3 linked regions of the Arabidopsis thaliana genome follow. The protein of the gene in region 2 purifies or fractionates together with the protein of the main gene of each other region. This does not show direct contact. Each region holds a gene or a part of one and is shown on either strand. Other genes may lie near its edges.

Region 1 (3,973 bases), about 20 Mb from region 2:
AACGGAGAACAATTCGAGATCAGCTCCGATGAGATGGAGAAGAGACCAAGAAGAAGAGGAACCAGATCCAGATTGGAGAGAAGGTGGTGTGTTCGTTCACGAGGATTGTGATTGGGTTGGGTGGTAGGGGCGTGAGAATCTTCGACCAAACCAGGGGTAGTTTTGGTATTTCCAGACTTAACGTTTAAGACTAGGCAAAGTGGTCACCCACTACTTACACACACGCGCTTCCTTATTTGCGGATTGGTTGGAGCCGTGACGTCCTCACTCGGTCCCAACCACACTCGGTAACTAATAGCGTTTTCTAAACGCGGTTATTTGGTAGAGCGTTTTCATTAACGTGATTAGCTAGGACAAAACAAACAAACAAGCCAACCTAAACCGTATGTAACTAATAAGACAGTACCCAAAACCAAAATAAGCATATGTTGTGCGGTATAGAAAATTATAATTACTGTTCAAATTCAGTGATTGACATGTAATTATCACAGTTTTTCCATTAAAATAGTAAGGAGCAAAAGTGATATAATAAATTAGAAACTTTGCGAGATTTCATAATTATGATCTAAGTAAATTTTCATTATATGTGGGTAAATAACATCGATAATAGCCAGAGAGACTCACGTTTACAATCAAACACAGCCGCACGAGTAACCGATCAAGAATTAAATCACCTAAGGAACAAGAAAATGCTTATATCTGCTGCGCATGGGAATGGTGGAAAGAGACGAGAGAGAGATTAAATAGTTGTATTGAACAAAAACCTTGGATCATATGTTTCTCTAAACTCAAAACATAAACTGACCAAAACAAAAATAAACGAAAATCTCAGATTTCAGTAAACATGTCTAGTTGGAGAAACGATCTAACAGCGGACAAATAACATAAAAGGTGATTGATTATGGAGAACAAGAACCCACAAGATAAAGATTCTCTCTTCAGGATCTCACTTCTTCTTGGCATCACCAGCCTTTGTCTGCAAACATTGATCAAAACAGATTCTTAAAGCTACAGTCACAATCAAAAACAGAAGATAGCAAGAGGGAAAACCAGTATACATACCTTCTTAACACCACGGATTTTCTTCGCCCTGTTCTTCCTTTCCTTAATTTGTTTCCTTGACTTCTCAATCTTAGTGTCAAGTCCATTCTGCCAACCACATAGACAAAGCATGTTTAAGTATAAAGATGCAGAGAACACCAAGTGCAATACGATATAAAGTCCGAAACTTATCACATAGCTTATAATTTTCAGACAAACAGTAATGAGCAAGAGTAATGATTTAAGACGGGTCAATGTGAGTAGCAATATATAACAATGGAAACAAGAGTGGAAAAAGCATTTACCCTGATAAGTCTGTATTTGGGTTCAAACTTCTTAGCGCTCTCAACAGTATCATAGATCAAACCAAACCCGGATGATTTACCACCTCCAAAGTGGGTTCTGAATTTGAATACGAAGATTGCATTTGGATCCTTGACCTCGTACATCCTTGCTAGCTTCTCCTTCAGCTCAGCCTTGCAAAAATAAAACCAACTCTCCCGTTAGAACCTCTCATAGTCTATCAGAACTCGAAATAGATGAAGTAACAAAGTGAGTAAAGAACAAACCTTTGAAACATTGGCTCTTCCAGGGTGAAGAACATCAATAACCTATATTTTCAACAATCCACCATAACTTAGAATTTCATTCCAAAATCTCAAACGGAACTAAATTGCGCCAGATCAATACTATATGATCTAAACACTATCTATGCTTTAACATTAGGTCGTAAATCTGAAAGCCTGACCTAAAACATCAAACCCCAATTATAAAAATTTGACGAGACAACGAATGCATTCTCTCGAGATTGGGTTCATATCAAATTATAACTAGATTCCCATTAAAACAAAACCCAGAAGAACAAAAATGATATGCAGATAGAGAAGAGAAAAAAAATAATGGAACTCACGAACTGCTTCCTGGAGAGAAGTCTGTTGGTCATGAATTTCCTGGTTCGGATGGTGACCGCCTTTTCAGCCATTTTTGCTACTTCTCAAGGATTAAAGTGAAAGATCTCTGCAAGCTTGAGTGTTTTCGTCCGCTCAGGTGAAGGAAAGAGACGCCGAATCGAAGTCGGAGCTTTTATATAGTTACAAGTTCCTTAGGGTTTCTTTTGTGTTCTCTTTGTATGGGCCTCAACTTTTAATTTGGGCTTACTTAATCCTAGCCGTTTGGTTTTCTAGGTTTGATTAATAAACATTTACATGGGAAAATAAAACGAAGCCCACTGGGCCTAAAATATTTATAGCCTAGTGTCACAAACAATTGTCATTGGACATTGGTTAAAGTCTTTGTTTCCCCCACGCCACGAGTCAATATTTTCTGTACATAACACAAAACTGGGGTTCATTAATGCTACGAATTCAGCAATTTTGAGTTAGAATTAACCAATGTCAAACACTTAAGACTAAATGACAGTTTAATGTGTATATGTATAGTTGTGTTCAGCTGATTAGAACTAATTAACTTGTACTTTGACACTTAATATAAACTTTTGGGAAAAGAAAAACACAAACGGCTAAGAAACTTTTATTTTATTTTATTCGTTGTGCTTTGGTGTTTTACACTTACAATGTAGGGAATAATCATTTTTTGTCTTGTCAACGTGTTACTTTTACTATTTAACAAATAAGAATTGTTTGCCGGAGTTATTGCAAAGAAATATTATGAAACTTTTGGGAAAGAAGAGTAATTATTAAAGCTCAAAAGAAACTATTATAAAACAGAATATAATGTTTTGATCTTGTTAAGCCACGAGTGTGTTAAAATGAGTTGGCTTCCACCGCAAAAGATCATTTGAAGGTTGTACTGATCAGATTTCGACCATTCGCTGGAACATGTATAAATTTTAAGATCGCCAAATATATATATGAGGACAAAATTTAATAACACCATCTATTCGTTGATTATTAGTTGCTGGTAGTGATGAGACCCTCTTGCATTATATTCATAATAATGGATAGACACAAAATAATATATTTATAAAGTAACAAGGAAAATCTTGAGGGAAAGATTATAAGGACCGACAAGAAAATGAATGGAGGGAAGATATGAGAAGAATGGTTGGCACTGAACAAGTGTGTGTTGGAGTTGGGTACGAATAGAAGTACGTTGATCTGTACATTCAATACCCACATGCATGTCATCAATTAACGACCATTTTACCATTTTGCTTTCTTAGCCTATTATCTACTATTAAGATCAATTATTGTTATCTTCTTTTAATGGGTCAACCTAATTCAATTCTTCGTATGTCCCTACTGCCATTTTTCATTATCTTTTTTATTCGTTTTAGTTCCATTGAATTTTCTTGACGCGTATAACATAAATTTTCAAGTTTGAATTTGTACAGGGTATATATTATATATATTAGATATTAAAAATTTGTTTTAAAAGTATTATAGCTATTGGTTTTTAAATATACTAAATTACATATATTAGATATTAAAAATATATCATTTTACTTTATTAATTAAATAATGCTAATATATATATATAATTTACATATATATATATATATATATTTCACAAATTTCAACCATAAATATTAAATAAACTGCAAACAAAAATTGTATTTTTACTAATTTACTAGTTTACACAAAATATATAATTGAAGTGTAGTTACTAATTTTACAATATAGAAACATATCTTAAAAGTTTATCAAAAGTTAAATTGGAATACGAAAGATTAATTAAAGAAAAAAAGCAAAGTTTTACAGTTACTTAGAAAAATTAAGAAGAAAAGTAAAACAAAAAAAATGCAACTATTTAAAAGAAACAACAAAATGTAAGAAACAACTAAACAAAAAGATGTATCGGATGTAGCAACAAACAAAAAAAAAAAATTAAAGAAAAAAGCAAAACAAAAAACTACAGAAGGGAATCGATCTCAACATTTTAATATTGTATGGGGCACTAAATGAATTCTTAT
Region 2 (5,153 bases):
CATGAATGAGCCATGAAGGATTCAAAACTATGATTCATAAAATACTGCCACAGAATCCAAACCTCGTATGTATCCCCCTTCTCCAGAATCTTCACGTAATGGACCTGTAAAACACCACCCTCAGACAGAATTGTCCGTGCAGTACTTCCAGCAGATCCTTCTGGAATGGCAGAATTCATTGCAGCTTCTGACACCTTGAGGCTAAAATTTGGGGTGGAGTTTGAAGGTGACAGGGCCTTCATTCTAGCTTGAAGAGATTCATATTGAGGTCGAGGCTCACCCATTCCATTACGGCTTCTTACTCCAGACCTTTTATCACTTGCCATCAGTTCTGCTAATGATCTCAGATCCAGAGTTCCTTTCAAGTAAAATTCTTCCACATGAATGTCTGAAAAGCTCGGTAAGTTTAATGATGCCACCAGCTTGTCATAACTTGGGGGGATTTTGTAGATGACACCATCACCAATGTCCAAATACGAAGGTTCATATGCTATCCTGCAAATGATGCAAAATTCAACGTGTCAATCTAGGAAACCCAACACCGTAAGTTATCTAAGCGGATTACACAGGGTTACACGGATCCCATGGAACATGAAAAAACATATGATCAACATACTTGGGTGTAATATCACGATCATGGTAGCTTCCTCGCCTATGTGGGGTCACATCAGCTGCAAAATTTGGAGAGTTGTCCATGTCATAGAACCTCCCATGGTAATCATTCCCTGGTTTCCTACCTCTGTAACTGCCCACATTGCTCTTTAGCACCGGAAAACCCATCAGATGAGGAGGATTCCCTTGAGTCTCCTTGGACCTATTTTTGAATTTTTGTACATGCTCCCCAAGCATTGATCGGTAGTGCTCCTCAGTAACATGTTGATTGTAGAGATCATCATCGTCCTCTGCATCCTCAGCTTCTGTCCACCGCTTTCTCTTCTTGGAGCTCGCATTCATTCTCGATTTAGACCCATTGCTGTAGTTTGCCACTACCCCACCTTTAACCATTACCAACCATATAGACAGAACACAGATAAACGTCACTTAAAACTATCACAGTAGGTGGCAAAAGTAATTCCATAAAACCAATTAAAAACTGTACCTTGAGTGCTTCTACTTTCATCCTGGCTACTACTCCCATAATAATCAACTTCATCTTCAGGTTTCGGAATTCTAAACTTCATCAACGGCTGCAAGAATGAAGAATTTAGCCACAAAACCCACACTGAATTTCAACAGTAAAACAAAAACACACTGTAGAAACAAGGAGAAGCTATACAATTGCAAGATTTCCAATCACCAAAACTACATTCATCACAGTCACATGATCATCATCCAACAAGTACAAACCATCAATTTCAAGGAAATCACAAAAAAATTGAGACCTAACAGACCTCGAGATCGAATAGATTCGCGTAAGGAGAGTCCTTCGGTGGTCGTCTTGAAGGATCCATGAGAGACGGGAAGAGAATAACACGGCGTCAAAATTTTGGAGAGTCTTAATCCTTAAAAGCTTCTAGACAGAAACATTCGTCACGAGAAAGAAAAAGAGTTCGTCTCGAAGAAGAACCCTAATCCAGTATGATAGAGGAAGAGGGCGAAAGGTTAAAGACGAACATGCGCAAGTTAGTGGACACAGGCGGTACAGAAAGAAGTCCAGACTACTAACATACGCCAAACGAATAAAGCTTCTTACCGTGCGCCTCTCCACAAAAAACATTTAATTATTATTTTTTCTTAACCCCTCCGGTACCGGCCGATCAGATAACGACGGCTAAGTTATCGTTTTGGAGATAAAAATACCTTGTGGGGTAAACAACAATATATAAGAAGTAAAGGGGCGAATTTATAAATATTGAAAGCTCATATTCGAGAAAACCCTAATTTCAATATACAGGATTTTTTACCTCGTCGTCTCTGAAACTTCATCTCTGCCGTCTTAAGAAGATTTTGCCAGTGCGGGAAGCGGCGGAGATTGAGAGATTAGCGACGATGGAGGAAAGCAAACAGAACTATGACCTGACGCCACTAATAGCGCCTAACCTGGACAGACACTTGGTGTTTCCTATATTCGAGTTCCTTCAAGAGCGTCAGCTTTACCCTGATGAGCAGATCCTGAAGTCTAAAATCCAGCTTTTGAACCAGACGAACATGGTTGATTACGCCATGGATATTCACAAGAGTCTCTACCACACTGAAGACGCTCCTCAAGGTATTCTTGTGTATTCCTCTCTGGATATGTCTGTGAATTTGCGTTTTTGTGTACTGGTTTGTTTGTTTGATGATGAATGTTGAAATTTGTGGTGATAGAAATGGTGGAGAGAAGAACAGAGGTTGTCGCTAGGCTCAAATCTTTGGAGGAGGCTGCTGCACCACTCGTGTCTTTTCTTTTGAACCCTAACGCTGTGCAGGAGCTAAGAGCTGACAAGCAGTACAATCTCCAAATGCTCAAGGAACGCTACCAGGTTGTGATTTGGATGATTAAGTTGTTTAATTTTGTGAAATGTTATCCAGATTTGGTTTTGTTTGTGTATTGTGGAACACAAATCTTATATGGCTTGGTGTCTTATCAGATTGGTCCAGACCAGATTGAGGCTTTGTACCAGTACGCCAAGTTTCAGTTTGAATGTGGCAACTATTCTGGTGCTGCTGATTATCTTTACCAGTACAGGACCCTGTGCTCTAACCTTGAGAGGAGTTTGAGTGCCTTGTGGGGAAAGCTCGCATCTGAAATATTGATGCAAAACTGGGATATTGCTCTTGAAGAGCTTAACCGTCTCAAAGAGATTATTGACTCAAAGGTTAGTATTTAAAACTTCTTCTAGTTTGCGACCTTTGAAATCAATATAGATGTGAGAGTATATATGCTAACTACCATTTGTTTTTTCAGAGTTTTTCATCGCCGTTAAACCAGGTGCAGAACAGGATTTGGTTGATGCATTGGGGTCTGTATATCTTTTTTAACCATGATAATGGAAGGACACAGATCATTGATCTTTTTAACCAAGACAAGTAAGCCTCTACCTCTCTGTTATCTGCATCTCTTCTTTATACCTTTCATCACCATCTATTTCCTTGCGTTTTAAGATAAGCATGATCTAGATGCGATGAAGTTATGTATAGGTGGTGTTTGTGTGTAGAACTTTGTTTATAGTTAATGTTAGTCCTGATGTGCCTACAAGTAATTAGCAGTCACTAGTTTTAGAGTCTTCTCCTTCTTTTCATCCAGACCTATTCTTAAGATTGTGCTTTGTGTATGGGCATTTGCTGAAAAATAATTCACTTTGTTTTCATGCTGCAGTTCTGTATACTAATTTGATTTACTTTTTCAGGTATCTGAATGCCATCCAAACTAGTGCTCCACACTTGCTGCGCTACTTGGCAACTGCTTTCATTGTCAACAAAAGGAGAAGACCACAATTGAAAGAATTCATTAAGGTCATTCAGCAAGAGCACTACTCCTACAAAGATCCAATTATCGAGTTCCTGGCATGTGTGTTTGTCAATTATGACTTTGATGGGGCTCAAAAGAAGATGAAAGAGTGTGAAGAGGTAACTCATCCACATGTATAGATATTTTTGTTTGTGCAGAACTGTGCAATCAATACTCTGACATTTTAACATGATGTAGGTCATTGTGAATGATCCATTCCTTGGCAAGCGAGTTGAGGATGGAAACTTTTCAACTGTACCACTGAGAGATGAATTTCTTGAAAATGCCCGCCTATTCGTCTTTGAAACCTATTGCAAAATTCATCAAAGGATTGACATGGGGTAAGTTCTCACATTTGGTTGTATATGTTTACACATAACTCTGCTCTCCGGATTGCTCAATGTTTGGAATTTTCTCTATTCCTTATCTTTCCCAACACATGAAAATTGCCATATCCAGCTATTTAAGTTGAGAAGAATTGTTGCGGTCTTGTGGTTTAACTTTGTACTCATGTCGAGCCTATATTTCCCTTGTCAGGGTACTTGCTGAAAAATTGAATCTGAACTATGAGGAGGCCGAGAGATGGATTGTGAACCTAATCCGCACCTCAAAGCTTGATGCCAAGATTGATTCTGAGTCAGGAACTGTAATCATGGAGCCTACTCAGCCCAACGTGTAAGTAGAATAAGCTTAAATCTATGATATCATTCGTATTCTACAATCTAATCTTGTTTCCGCTTTATGCAGGCATGAGCAGTTGATAAACCACACCAAAGGCTTATCAGGACGAACATACAAGTTAGTGAATCAGCTCTTGGAACACACACAGGCGCAAGCAACTCGCTAGTCAAAATTTTGCTGTGGAAGCCTTTCCTTGATAAAACTCACCTTCGGTTGACTGGAATTATTTTCTTTTTCTTGCTCTGAGTTCACCTTTTACTTTGAAAAAGATTATTATGGAGTTGTTCTATTTGAAATGTTGGATCCACAGATTGGAACATTTTCCAACCAAATCAGCATTTTGTATCCACCCTAAGCATTTAAAGGTTTTTGCAAGCCAACGTAAATTACTGCCTTACATTGAGCATCTCTGATTTGCGTAATAGTAAGTACAATAATAGCATATAACAGAAGTAAGAAAAACAAAACTTAAGAGTTAAGACTATGACAGTGGAAAGAACAGGTCACAAACAAAACAAGTATATCAATTCGTAAATAGTATAAAGTTACTCCAGAAGTCCAACTCGCCAGAGTCATCAAAAGAGAGAAGATAAATTCAATTTCTTTGGAGGTGGGTGCCCTCCAGAGAGTACCACATAAGAATAGAAACACAACATGCAATGGAAATGGCATATAGTGTGTTTTGATCTTTCCAGTGGATCTTTTGAAGCGAGTATGAAAATACCATTTACCACTGATGGTCGAGTTACTATAAGCAACATGAAGGACCGTTTGTGTATATCAGAGGGGAAGGACATGAAACAAGAGATATGGTCATTAAACTCTCGCAAGAAATGGGAGAAGACGTATTCGATTGATTTGAATAGAACTTCCATTTGGTGTCGCCGCCATCCGAATTTGCCAACAAAAACAATCACAACATTTCAGAAAAATAAGATTTTGCTTCATAATTGGAAGATAACTGGCCGTACTTTAATTATACATGATCCGGAACAAAATTCTTATGATTTTAGCTTTTAAATTTCAGCATAAAGGGGTTTCT
Region 3 (4,355 bases), on a different chromosome or scaffold from region 2:
TAGCCTTTATTAATTGTTAGTGGTATGAGATATATTGAAGAAAATAAGTATAAGCAAAAAAAATGTTGATAGAAGAATTAAATAAGCAATAATTTCAAAAGGTATGTAATGTGGATGAAACGGCACATGTCGTTGTCACGTGGCTCGTTCCCATCGATTCAATGCATATCTCGACCAACTTGACTTATTAATATTCCTCGTACAACTCTCCAATCTAAAGCCACCTTTCTTCTACGTTATACATTTTCTTTTTCTGTTTTCTTTTAAATACTTTCTCCTCACAAATTATTGTTTTCTATTATCTAAAATCAATACCGTTAGGAAATGGTGTCTTTATAACACTTTAGAAAAATATAATTAATCATTTTCTAATGTATTATTTTTGTAATTGAGTAATTTGATTTAAAAATATAAACTAATATAATAATATTGGTATTTAATCATTTCAAATATTCTTAATTATATTCTTTTTGAATACACGCATATTGTTCTAAACTATTAATTTCTTACAAAAATTCTATATTATTTATTGTGTCTACAAACAAAAGAGTCGTCTAATCATTTTTGGTTTCATTTTTTTTTTGCTAGAAATCAAAAACAAATTCCTCATTTTTTTTGAGGTAAGCTAATGTTATTTTCTAATAACAATCATAAGTAATACCCGTGGTTTAAAGTTTACACGGTATTAATTAGGTACTACAGCCATGGTGGACGGTGGATCTTCATCACCTAATCCGTACAATTAAGAGACAATTAATTACATTAAATCATGTGCATTAGTTGATTTAGGAACTAATTGATAAATCAACTCTAAAGACTAAAGTAGTGCGATAGATAAAGCTAAAGTATATATTTTCTTCAGTATAAAGATAGGAATATATGGGGACATATACTTTTGTCGATTTTGTATCCAGCTTTGCATCAGTGAAGTCTGAGCGAAGATATGACCAGACTTAAAAAGCAACTAAAAAGATGCATAACAGAAACACAAAAATAAAATTCATGCATCTGCTAGTCATAGAGGTTATTGGATTCATTGCACGTATCTTAATGATTCGTTTTCGTTTCACCTCCCTTGCTACAAAAGATTTGAAAGAGAAAATGTTAAATTCTTTAGGTCAGAATCAATTAAGATAATTTCATTTTCTTCTTGTGTTTTGTACGTCACTTGTTTCTTTTTTCGTTGGTTATGTACCAAAACATGAAAAGTTCAAAAATTGTTAATTAGAAGATTAAAGAGAAGAGTAAGAATAAAGATGAAATGAGGAATTGATATGGAGGAGTAGGACCCAAGTTTGCAAGGATGGTGGCTGGCTGGCTGCTCTGTTGTTTGTTACATCTCATTCTCAATCTTAATTCCAATTCTATGTGCTTCTTTCACTATTTCCCTATAGAATACCATTCTTGTTTTTTTTTTTCAATTTTCAAAAACCACTATAAGGAACTTTTTCAATAGTTGCTTGTTTGTTTAGACCAAGGAAGATGTCAAATAGATTTCTTCACTTTTCAAGTGGAAGCAAAATTATGCGGTCAAGTGTATTATACTAGTGTGTGTTTTTTTTTGGTTTAATACCGACTAATTTCTAACTCTAATCTATCAGTGAACGTCTTAAAACTAATATTGCTGAAGAATATATTGTTCTCTGCTACAGCCTACAGCATTCAAAGTTTCATCAAAAAGATAAAATGTATATATAACTAAAAGTTTTGGGTTAATAGATAATAGTCAAAGAAGACATTCGTGTTGAATGTTTCTTTTTTTTTTTTTTTTTTATCGTGGGGATTGATTCAATGCATTGTTCCAACCTTTTGACTCTTTCTCGTGTTTCCTTTTTTATTCGTTTTCTGAATTATACTTTTTAGACCCTTTCCTCGAATTTTTACTTGAGCCCTACTCTAGTAATACATAAGCATATATATAAAAATCTCTCAAATTTGATTAGGACAGTTTTAGTATATAAAAAAAGGAAAAAACGCATTGTTTAAAACGTGGTCATGACGAAAACGTTTGATTTCGATCGATGATATTTAAATAAAGGAAACACCTAACCATATTTATTCTTAACTGATCAAAGATCCTCCAATTTCACGAAGCCTAAAACTCTCAAAAACAGATTCAATAACGTCACCAAACCTTGAGGCTTTTTAAAGGAAGAAGCATTTGAGAAAATCGTAACTTCTTGACCCTATGCATTCTGCTGTGTACAAGGTATGGTTAGTGCTTGTAATATACAATTATATAATCTCTTTGTTTTAATAAGTGGTTGCTCATTAAGATGAATGTTACTTGTCTAGTGAATGAGTATGACGTTGTTGTGGTTATCAGGTTGGTCTTCATTATCTTTCTTGGGATATTTCTGGTGGCAATGCCAGATGTATTGCGATGCTCCAAGCATTCCAAGAGGTTGTTAAAGATTACTCGACGCCGCCTGAGAATACCCTTAATAGAGACATGACTGCTCAAATAAGTAGCTACGTCTCTTTCCTCATAGAATGCCGTCCGCTTTCGATTAGCATGGGAAACGCAATCCGATTTGTGAAAAACAGGATTGCAAAGCTGCCTATAACACTTTCTGAATCTGAAGCAAAAGCTTCTCTTCACTCAGATATTGAACGTTTCATTAACGAGAAAATCATAGGTGCAGATACAGTGATAGTCGAACATGCTGTCACTAAAATAAGAGACGGTGATGTCCTTCTGACCTACGGATCTTCCACTGTCATTGAGATGATATTAGTGCATGCACATGAACTCGGGAAAAAGTTTCGTGTCTTTGTGGTGGATTCTCGACCAAAGCTTCAAGGGAAGCTACTGCTTCGTAGATTGATCAAACGAGGCATTAACTGTACATACACTCATATAACTGCCATATCATATATCATGCACCAAGTCACCAAAGTGTTTTTGGGCGCCTCATCAGTTTTTTCTAACGGAACAGTTTACTCAAGGGTTGGCACTGCTTGTGTTGCAATGGTGGCTAATGCTTTCCGTGTTCCTGTGCTTGTTTGTTGCGAAGCCTATAAGTTCCATGAGAAGGTGCAGTTGGATTATTCAATATGCTCCAATGAGCTCGGTGATCCAAATGCTATTTCAAAAGTTCATGGAAGAGAAGACATAAACTACTTAAATGGCTTGACCAACAATGCAAAGCTGAAGTTTCTGAACTTGATGTAAGCTAGCTTGTGTTAATCGTACAAGTGAAACTATATATGTTCTGTTAATACTATTCTTCTCTGCCTGCCACTAAACCCGTTTGTGATTTTTTTTCTAATGATAGGTATGATGCTACACCTTCAGATTACATTTCCATGATAATCACAGATTATGGCATGGTAAGATTAATCATATCGGCTCTTAATTAAAAACATAGCATTATGGTGATCAAGTGATCTCATCCCTAAACATAACTCATGCAACACAGTTTCTCCACTCATTCAGAATCTCAAACCATTGAACACTGACCATGTTTTATATTTCAGGTACCTCCCACAAGTGTGCCTGTCATCGTAAGAGAATATCAGAAAGAACACTTGCTTCAAAGCTCAAAGATTGTTATTTAGATGCTCAAAATAGAAGTAAGAATAAAAATGAAATGATATGGAGGAGTAGGACCCAAGATTATAAGGCATGGTTGCTGTTCTGTTGTTTGTTACATCTAATTCTCATTCCTTATTCCAATTCTGTGGGCTTCTTTCACTATTTTCCCTATAGAATACCATTCTCGTTTTTTGTTTCAATTTTCAAAAACCACTATAAGGAACTTTTTCAATAGTTGGTTGTTTGTTTAGACCAAGGAAGATGTCAAATTGATTTCTTCACTTTTTTGATTAATGTTTTGGGGTAATTAATTAGTCAAAGAAGACATTTGTGCTGAATGTTTTTTTTTGCTGAATGTTTTTTTTTTATCGTGGGGATTGATTCAATGCATCATATTGTTCCAACCTTTTGACTCTTTCTCTTGTTTCCTTTTCTTTTCTTTTTAGACCCTTTTCTCTAGTATAAGCATATAAATCTCTCAAATTTGATTTCGACGATTTTAATATATATATAAAAAAAAGAAATTCGCATTGTTTTAAACGTTGTTATGATGAAAACGTTTGAATTCGATTTTTTTTTTTTAATAAAAGTAAACACGTAACCATATTTATTCTCAACTGATCAAAGATCTTCTAGTTTCATGAAGCCTAAAAAACTCTCAAAAAACAGATTCAATAACGTAACCAAATAACATTGGAGGCTTTTTAAAAGAAAGAAACGTTTGAAGAAAATCGAAACTTGTTCACCCATATCACATTTTGGCTGCTGCTTCTGCCAAACGCTTCTTCTTCTTCTTGACACTAGCTGATTTGTAACC

Evidence for each region. The genes of interacting proteins can lie anywhere in the genome.
Region 1: the proteins of EIF3E (region 2) and AT3G04920 fractionate together in Arabidopsis thaliana (co-fractionation; one large-scale study listed by BioGRID). This does not show direct contact.
Region 3: the proteins of EIF3E (region 2) and AT2G44070 fractionate together in Arabidopsis thaliana (co-fractionation; one large-scale study listed by BioGRID). This does not show direct contact.

The regions. Positions count from the first base shown.
Region 1 is NC_003074.8:1,359,039-1,363,011, reverse strand, and holds AT3G04920 (Ribosomal protein S24e family protein), read right to left. Parts: upstream 2,176-3,973; 5' UTR 2,024-2,175; coding exon 1,952-2,023; intron 1,653-1,951; coding exon 1,611-1,652; intron 1,518-1,610; coding exon 1,347-1,517; coding exon of another isoform or gene 1,293-1,346; exon of another isoform or gene 1,150-1,292; coding exon 1,063-1,149; intron 977-1,062; coding exon 947-976; 3' UTR 563-946; downstream 1-562.
Region 2 is NC_003074.8:21,195,910-21,201,062, reverse strand, and holds EIF3E (eukaryotic translation initiation factor 3E), read left to right. Parts: upstream 1-1,743; 5' UTR 1,744-1,989; coding exon 1,990-2,209; intron 2,210-2,307; coding exon 2,308-2,462; intron 2,463-2,570; coding exon 2,571-2,798; intron 2,799-2,887; coding exon 2,888-3,009; intron 3,010-3,329; coding exon 3,330-3,549; intron 3,550-3,628; coding exon 3,629-3,771; intron 3,772-3,967; coding exon 3,968-4,105; intron 4,106-4,177; coding exon 4,178-4,277; 3' UTR 4,278-4,546; downstream 4,547-5,153. Other genes in the region: INO80 (DNA helicase INO80-like protein), read right to left, coding at 63-495, 617-995, 1,100-1,187, 1,392-1,451. UniProt on the Arabidopsis thaliana protein: Component of the eukaryotic translation initiation factor 3 (eIF-3) complex, which is involved in protein synthesis of a specialized repertoire of mRNAs and, together with other initiation factors, stimulates binding of mRNA and methionyl-tRNAi to the 40S ribosome.
Region 3 is NC_003071.7:18,230,303-18,234,657, reverse strand, and holds AT2G44070 (NagB/RpiA/CoA transferase-like superfamily protein), read left to right. Parts: upstream 1-2,027; 5' UTR 2,028-2,188; coding exon 2,189-2,209; intron 2,210-2,326; coding exon 2,327-3,171; intron 3,172-3,250; exon of another isoform or gene 3,251-3,268; intron 3,269-3,278; coding exon 3,279-3,333; intron 3,334-3,480; coding exon 3,481-3,561; 3' UTR 3,562-3,793; downstream 3,794-4,355. Other genes in the region: AT2G44065 (Ribosomal protein L2 family), read right to left, coding at 4,290-4,355.